Stegostoma tigrinum: one gene and its partner. The protein of the gene in region 1 binds, or shares a complex with, the protein of each later gene. Links are inferred from orthologs where the notes say so. Each region holds a gene or a part of one and is shown on either strand. Other genes may lie near its edges.

Region 1 (3,752 bases):
CGCTGTCTGGAAATGTGGTAGAGGCAGGTTCATTTGAAGAATTCAGGAAGGTATTGGATGATTATTTGGATAGAAATGGTGTGCAGGAATAAGGGGGAAAATTAGCAGATTAGCACTAGGTAATAGAAACAGAGCAGGCATGGTGGGCCGAATGGTCTGATTCTACACTTGAACAATTCTGTGAAGCTCACTTTGTAAGTGCAAGTTCTTCTTAAGCAAATCGTCACCTTCTTAATTCATTTCAACGCAGCTTGTTCTTTCTCGGCAGAAGCGACCATCATCTTTATTGCTTATAAACATAAATGTAACAGTTGTCCCGGACGTCCATTCGGTAGTTGGTCTTTTAAACGTTTTTATTTTGTTTTTATATAATCCAAGAGAAAGTCATCAGTAGTTGGTTACATTTCAAACGGGTGACGATTGCGTGTACTTTTTCCTGAATAGACATGTCAGTGCCTGTATTGTGGTGCTTCTGTACTGTTTCCATCCGTGTGATTCCTGGGTTATTTTTGCTAAATTTAACACAGCCGGTGAACTCGGGATTGGTTCATTCTTGGGGATTTCGTCTCCTTCCGGCCGTCAGAACCCTGTTGGTGTAGCAACAAGTCACTCGAATAGCTGCAGAATAAATAACATTGTGTCACTGAAGAGAAAGGGTAATGAATGCTAAACACTGTAAAACACGAAAAGTGAAACGAGGGTTGAGCAGCGTGCACAGAATTTTAAGCAAAATGATGTATTTACTGTCGGAATCAACAGCAGGCAGTGAAACAATTAGCGGATGCTACTTGTCTTTTGAAAACTATAATAGAAATACCAGATTTCCAGCGACATTAACCAGTATTTGCAGCAAAAACGCTGCTGTCAATCATGTTACCTGGGAGGCGTTGCAGGGGCGAGAGGTATGCGGGGGATTGTAGTTCCCCGGCCCCGTGTGAAACTGGTTGGGTGTGGAAGTAAGGAACTACATTTCCCGTTCAGCATCGCGGCGAGCTCACGCCTTGTGCCTGTGCCATCCGGGTGCCTGTGCGCTCTGAGCCGGGCTGGGGTGTGGTGGAGTGGCAGAGTGCTACGGGCACGCAGCTCTTCCCCGCAGTCACAGGGGCTTAGTGAATTGCTGAGTGCAAACAAAAAAAAATCATCAGCCACCCGAGCCGGAATCTAAATCTCTTCAATACGCTTCTTTTTGCATTCCAACTCAGCCTAAACAAAACAACGTCCTATATATCTGCATAAAGTTTCTTTTGGCGACGTCGTCTGGACCTTTCTCTAGAGGACTTAGAAGCTGAAATTTGAAAGGAGGGTGAGAACTTCTTTGTCGAACATCCACACACAACAAAAAGAGAATTGAATCGACTTCAACTGACAATGGGTTGTACCATCAGCGCTGAGGACAAGGCGGCTGCCGAGCGATCGAAAATGATTGATAAGAATCTCCGGGAGGACGGAGAGAAAGCGGCTCGAGAAGTGAAGTTGTTACTTTTGGGTAAGTTGGGTCTCAGTTTGTATGTTTCTGTCTATTGGTCTATATGTGTACTCCTCGGGCTGGGTTATATTAACGTTACACTTTAACCACAGCGAGAGAAGGGAGTGCGAGTGAAGGATTGAAGTGTGAACGCTCTGTAACTTTTTCACAGTCAAAATGACAAACTGAGTGGAACAGACCGCGATTTATTGTGTGTTTAATCTCTTCCCTGAACAAAACGCTCTTACTTCCTTCGAAGGGAGTAGGAGGAAAGGGTGACAAAAATAACGGAAGTTGCATGAAGCAAGGTATTTTCAACAGCAGGCCCTACTTGAACATTTAGAAGGAGAATATTGTAGATGAAGTTGAATAGCTTGTTTCCAAGGAATGCATTTGGCCGTTCCTGTATTTAATGTCTCAAATTGTACTCCGGCACCTCAATGATAATGCTCCCAAGCGTTCTTGATTATTGGGGTTGATTTAAATTAACTCTTTCCCCCCCCCCCCCATGAAATTGGAGACATTGCTTCCTGCATGCACTTTAAAACAATCGTAGCAATGCCTTTCTTTTTGAAGAGAAATCCGTCTTTTAAAGTAAATGAAGGGTCGTTTTAATTCTTCTAATATTTGTTCAATTCCACAATTTTCCCACCGAATTTGAGTGATTTCAACAGAGAATGAACTCTCGAGATGCGCAGATGTCGTCAGGGTTTAGATGACAATCTCTGCTGCAATTTTTTTTTCTCTTTTGTGAACTTCGACGATGAGTTCGAGCCTATTGACGTAGGGTTCAGACGGAAAAAGGGAAGGAAGGGCTGTGGAGAAGAATTGAGGGAAGGCAGGGCCCCACATCTGCATACAACCCAAGAGCAGCCTCCGCCTGTACCGTTGTCCTGTGTGTAGGATCAATCGGAGAGATCACAGTGTTTAGAACAGGGAAGGAGGGGACAGGGATCCGCTGGGAATGATAGTTAGCGGCTGACCGTGATTAATAAGCATCTCTCCAGCTTATTCACAACTGCAGGCTGCCTGCAGTGCCCTGTTGCTTTCGCCTGCTTATTTAATTGCACATCCAGCAAAATTAATGCTATACATGTCCCCAATTACACGGGGACAAAAACACATCGAAAAGTGATGCCGTCGGCCAGAGAGGTATGCTTGTTAAAGGATTATATAACCGCAAAGTGCAGGCTTTCATACCATGAAGCGCGCGGGACAGTGAAACCGTTCATTTCAGTGGCTTGCAATTACATAGCGCCTGCAATATAAACTTAGGCGGCATCAGCAACGGAGGAAGAATAAACGCATAAGTAGTCTCCAGCCAAGATAACCTTTTGAAATGGAGGCTGCTCAGAGGTTTGTGGAAGCCTGGACATGATTTTGGGAGGTTACACTCTTCCAGGCTTGAATCTAAACATTAACTCAAGGATCCTTTGGGCTTTCTAACAGAAACAGATCATGGAGCTTTAATTACTCAGACTTTGAGAAAAATACGCCTTTTGGGTGTGGAACCAGCTTCAGAGGATGAGGTGACATTTGTGGTGTTGTAGCATTCTGTATAATTTCCTGTTGTGAACAATTTATCTGGTCGTGTTTGCATTCACTGTTGTCACAAAAAAGTAAGAAAAAGCCTGAGATGTGAGGAATGAACAATTGATGCTATATGAGGGATGAAGACTTGTTATTCCCATGTAAGGACTCTCCTATGCTGTATTGTTCTAAAATATTTTCAATTTTGAATACAGCAGTGCAAAATGTATTTTGCTATTGCCTTGAAAAATGAGACCAAATGAGATTGAAGTGCAAAGGAATTCAGGGGTACGCATCACAAATATGCATAAAGCAGCAAAGTCATTTAAACAAAAAAGTGGCTATCATTTTTGGAGAAGTAGAATTCAAAGGTATGCATATTCTGGTCTCCAGAATACAAAAATGATCGAGATGTACACTGGTAAAATTTCGTCAGGACTAACGATCCCTGAGAAGAGATCATGAGCAGCAATGATGGAGTAGCCTGGACTTCTGCACTGAAAAATAGAAATGTGAGACGACCATAAATAAAATTTATGAAGGGTTATGTTAAAGTTGACATAAACATATTTTCCATTGTGGGTGAGTCCAAAATTAGTGGCTGTAGATATAAAATGGTCACTAAAAATACCATTGAGGAATTGAGGAGAAACAACTTCGCCAAAGGAGTGGTTAGAATTTGGAACCTGTGAGAGAAATTTAATAGAGTCGGATGAGATAATGTAAAGTAGGAGAAAGCTTGTGTGGAGCATAAACA
Region 2 (3,752 bases), on another chromosome or scaffold:
CTCCGAAACAACTCTGTAAATTTCAGATTACCTCACCACATCCTCAACTCCCACTCCCTCGGAATATGGAGCTCAATGTGTTGCAAGACCCTATCTGTGTTACTGTGCAGATTTAAGTGTTACAAACAGGGAAGGGTTTTGTGGCACGGTGGTTACTTCTGAGCCAGGAGACCTAGGTTCAAGTCCCACCTGCTCTAAGGGTGTGTAATACTATCAATGAACAGACTGATGAGAAAACATCTTGCAGATAGGGACCCCAATGGTCTTTCTGGGCTGTAATACAATTTTGGTCTCCAAATTTGGAGGCAGTTCAGTGGGGATTTTCTAGATTGATTCGAGAGAGTAGGAGTTTGTTTTACGAAGAGAGATTGAACGGTTTAGGCCTATACTCTCTGATGTTTACAAGAATGAGATATCTAACTGATGTATAAGATGCCAAAGGAGACTGACTAAATAAGGGTGGAAAGGATGTTTCCCCTTGTGGGGCAATCCAACACGAAAGGTCATAAATTTAGGGTAAAGGGTGGCGGACTTAAATCAAAGGTAAGGAGGAATTATCATTCTCAAAGGGTTGTGAATCTGTGGAATTCACTACCCCAGGATGCGGTGAATGCGGTGACATGGAGTAAATTTAGGAAGCAGATAGACAGCTTTTTAATTAGTAACGGGTCAAAGGGTTATGGAGATCGGTGGAGAACTGGAATTGAGGCCAAGACGAGATCAGCCACAATGTACCAAATGGTGCAGGCAGGCTGAAGGAACTGAATGGCCCACTCCTGCTCCTAGCTCTTACAGTCTAATCAAACATCAGTGTTTGGCTGGGATGCAAAGAAAGCTACAGCACCGATTTCCTAGGATCCAGTCTCTCCCAAATTTGCACAGCCAGAGTTCAAAATGAAGGCGAGCAACTTTGCTGATTTCTGTCGTCTTTAACTTTGGGATGGGTACAATCGTGGCAAGATCACTGACTCATAACAGACTGGAGAGAAGCAGCATGCATTTAACAGGTAGTCATTAATCCCAATGTTGTTTTTTTTTTAAAAAACACTGATTCAATGGTCACATTATAAAACCATAATAAAATAATTTAATTACTATTTTGTTACTGTTTCTGCAGTAGTGCTACCGATCTTTATCTGTACAGTGATCGTAAGCTGTCACTTGAGGTCAAGCAGCAGAGACCAAGAACTGCATTCTATGTGAAACAATGCCCTCAAAAGACAGAATCTGGTGGTGAAGTGGAGTTTGTAGACTGTCAGTGATAATTCCGGAGTTTAAAATTAAATACAGCAATGACCAATATTTCCAGCTCAGGACAGCAGGCAACAGGAGGGAAATATTTTTATCGTGAACTACATAAGCAGAATAGAAAGCAGAAGCGGTGACAAAGCTGCAATTCAGAAAGCAATGGGCCTTTGTTTCCGACAGATGAATACAAGTACAATCCCTCAGAGAGAACACATGCTCATTCTGAAACACGGAGGTCAGATTCCACGACACTTCCAACCTCATCATCGAGGAACCGAGGGCAAAGCAAAGCAGGTAACAAATTCAAATCTTCACTTACAGAAATCTAGGACAGGGTCAGCAGAAGCATTTGGTGAAAAGATTAATCAAATCTGTAAATTGACAGCATGACTTTTTAGGTGAAGCAGTCACCAACAATGGCAAATAAAAACCAAAAGAACTGCAGATGCTGTAAATCAGGAACAAAAACAAAGTTGCTGGAAAAGCTCAGCAGTTCTGGCAGCATCCGTGAAGGATAGCACAGAGTTAGCGTTTCGGGTTGGGTTCTGAGGAAGGGCCACCGGACCCGAAGTGTTAACTCTGTTTTCTCCTTCACAGATGCTGCCAGACCTGCTGAGCTTTTCCAGCAACTTTCTTTTTGTACCAACAATGGCAAATCCTGGCTAAACATTTGTAATTGTTATGGTAATAATTATTGTCACATTAATTTTTATTTTGTTATATGGTTGCAAATTTTTCCCTTTCCACTTTTTGAGAACAGGTCATTATTTGTACGAAGTCCACCAAGGACTAATGTATTTTGGAAGGGTGCACTGAAAGCTCCAAGTTTAAACACAATGTTTTTGAAAAAAGGAAGTGTAGACAGCCAAACGATTGAAACAAAATAATGGCAATAATTACTGGGATAACGAAGTGTGGAGCTGGATGAACACAGCAGGCCAAGCAGCATCTCAGGAGCACAGGAGCACAACACAGGAGCTCTCTGATGAAGGGTCTAGGCCCGAAACGTCAGCTTTTGTGCTCCTGAGATGCTGCTTGGCCTGCTGTGTTCATCCAGCTCCACACTTTGTTATCTTGGATCCTCCAGCATCTGCAGTTCCCATTATCTCTGATGCAATAATTACTGGGTTGACTTACCAAAACAAAATAGCTAAGAAATATTCCTCCTGAATATATTTGAGGTTAACAAGGTGAGGTTCGGTAACTGAATGTGTATAAACGCCAAGGAAGAACAAGGCAACTACCAGCCTGCACCGAACTTCAAATTTCGACATGCAAATTTACTGCACAACTGTGCAATCTTGTACTAATTTATTTGCAATCTATTATCTGCAACTTCCTGCTAATGGTGTGTACATAGATAACGCAGCTTCATCCAGCCTCATTTCAAAATCAGAAATGTTTTGCTCAAATTATCTGTCTTCTCTTTTTCATTTGATCGATGTAATACTTTTCCGTACTTCATTCGTAAGAGGGTCACTGCAAAGTGTTTTGAAAGAAATCATTTGTCATAACCTGGACAATGACACAGTTGACAAATTTTGCTTTGCACACAACTTTCAGAATTAATATACCCTCCTTCTTCATTCGCAATTGCATCTTGTTTCTCTGATTGAATCATACGAATCCTGCAGATTTTACATACGGTTTTGTCAACAAACATTAGAATTCTACTCACTTCCACTAATCCTCAAAAACTTCAAACCTGAAGTGCATTGTAGGTTTTCAGTCAGTGTTATACCAGTGAGTGCCCTTTGGTTCACTCCATTTAGGGTGCCTGTACTTTTTCCCCATTGAAAAGGTTAAAACACAGCATGAATCGGATTCCTACAGAACCACTTAAAAATACAAATGAATACATTATAATTTCCAAGGCGAGGGAATAATTTTTCCCTCCTTGTTAGTTTTAGTGGGAAAACTAAACAGATGTGCATCTTGTCCATCTGGCTCCAACACCATGACAGAGAAACCTGTTCCAGCTCAGCAGGAGGTAGCTGTCTTTTACAGACGGATGTGTATCAGTAAATGGACAGGAGCATCACAATAAAGTGTGAATGCCTGTTCAGTCGTAATGGAGGAAGTTTCCTCATCGTGCTTTTCACTATCTCAGAAAGCCCCAATACACTTTGCAACCAACGAAGGGCTTTTTGAAGTGTAGTCACTATTGCAACACAAGAACAGCAGCAGTCAATTTGTGCGCAGCAAGCCCCTGCAAACAGCACTGACAAGTGTGGCTCGAACTGGTTCCAAAGGTGAAAAAATGCGTGGCAAAGGGATGAGAAACTAACTGTTGGACCATACCCACCAAGAGTGCACCAGTTGTTTCTGGAGACTCTCAGACAGCCCATCCTGTCAAAGTCTGATCCCGTGTTTGCCCCACCAACCGTCGAAGCTATAAAGTCACCAGCAGTTACAGTGCAGCATCCACCATGCACAGATGCTGGGACAGTAAGCCAGATCTAACTTGACTCAGTACAAAACTGCAGGATGGCAAGAGGCAGCAA

What was found.
Region 2: the proteins of guanine nucleotide-binding protein G(i) subunit alpha-2 (region 1) and P2Y purinoceptor 12-like are in contact, whole or in part, in a cryo-EM structure (PDB 7XXI), measured with the Homo sapiens proteins. The link is inferred for Stegostoma tigrinum from reciprocal best matches to the Homo sapiens genes GNAI2 and P2RY12. Residues at the interface, in NP_002061.1 of Homo sapiens: Arg24, Glu28, Ala31, Arg32, Leu195, Glu319, Ile320, Tyr321, Phe335, Phe337, Asp338, Ala339, Thr341, Asp342, Ile344, Ile345, Lys346, Asn348, Leu349, Lys350, Asp351, Cys352, Gly353, Leu354, Phe355; in NP_073625.1 of Homo sapiens: Phe59, Asp121, Arg122, Lys125, Thr126, Pro129, Phe130, Thr132, Asn134, Pro135, Ile212, Leu216, Ser219, Tyr220, Arg222, Thr223, Arg224, Val234, Lys237, Ile241, Leu301, Cys302, Lys303.

The regions. Positions count from the first base shown.
Region 1 is NC_081364.1:15,213,603-15,217,354, reverse strand, and holds the start of guanine nucleotide-binding protein G(i) subunit alpha-2, read left to right. Parts: upstream 1-1,025; 5' UTR 1,026-1,368; coding exon 1,369-1,486; intron 1,487-2,457; exon of another isoform or gene 2,458-2,617; intron 2,618-3,752. UniProt on the Homo sapiens protein: Guanine nucleotide-binding proteins (G proteins) are involved as modulators or transducers in various transmembrane signaling systems.
Region 2 is NC_081367.1:65,974,645-65,978,396, forward strand, and holds the start of P2Y purinoceptor 12-like, read left to right. Parts: upstream 1-1,374; 5' UTR 1,375-1,542; intron 1,543-3,752. UniProt on the Homo sapiens protein: Receptor for ADP and ATP coupled to G-proteins that inhibit the adenylyl cyclase second messenger system. Not activated by UDP and UTP. Required for normal platelet aggregation and blood coagulation.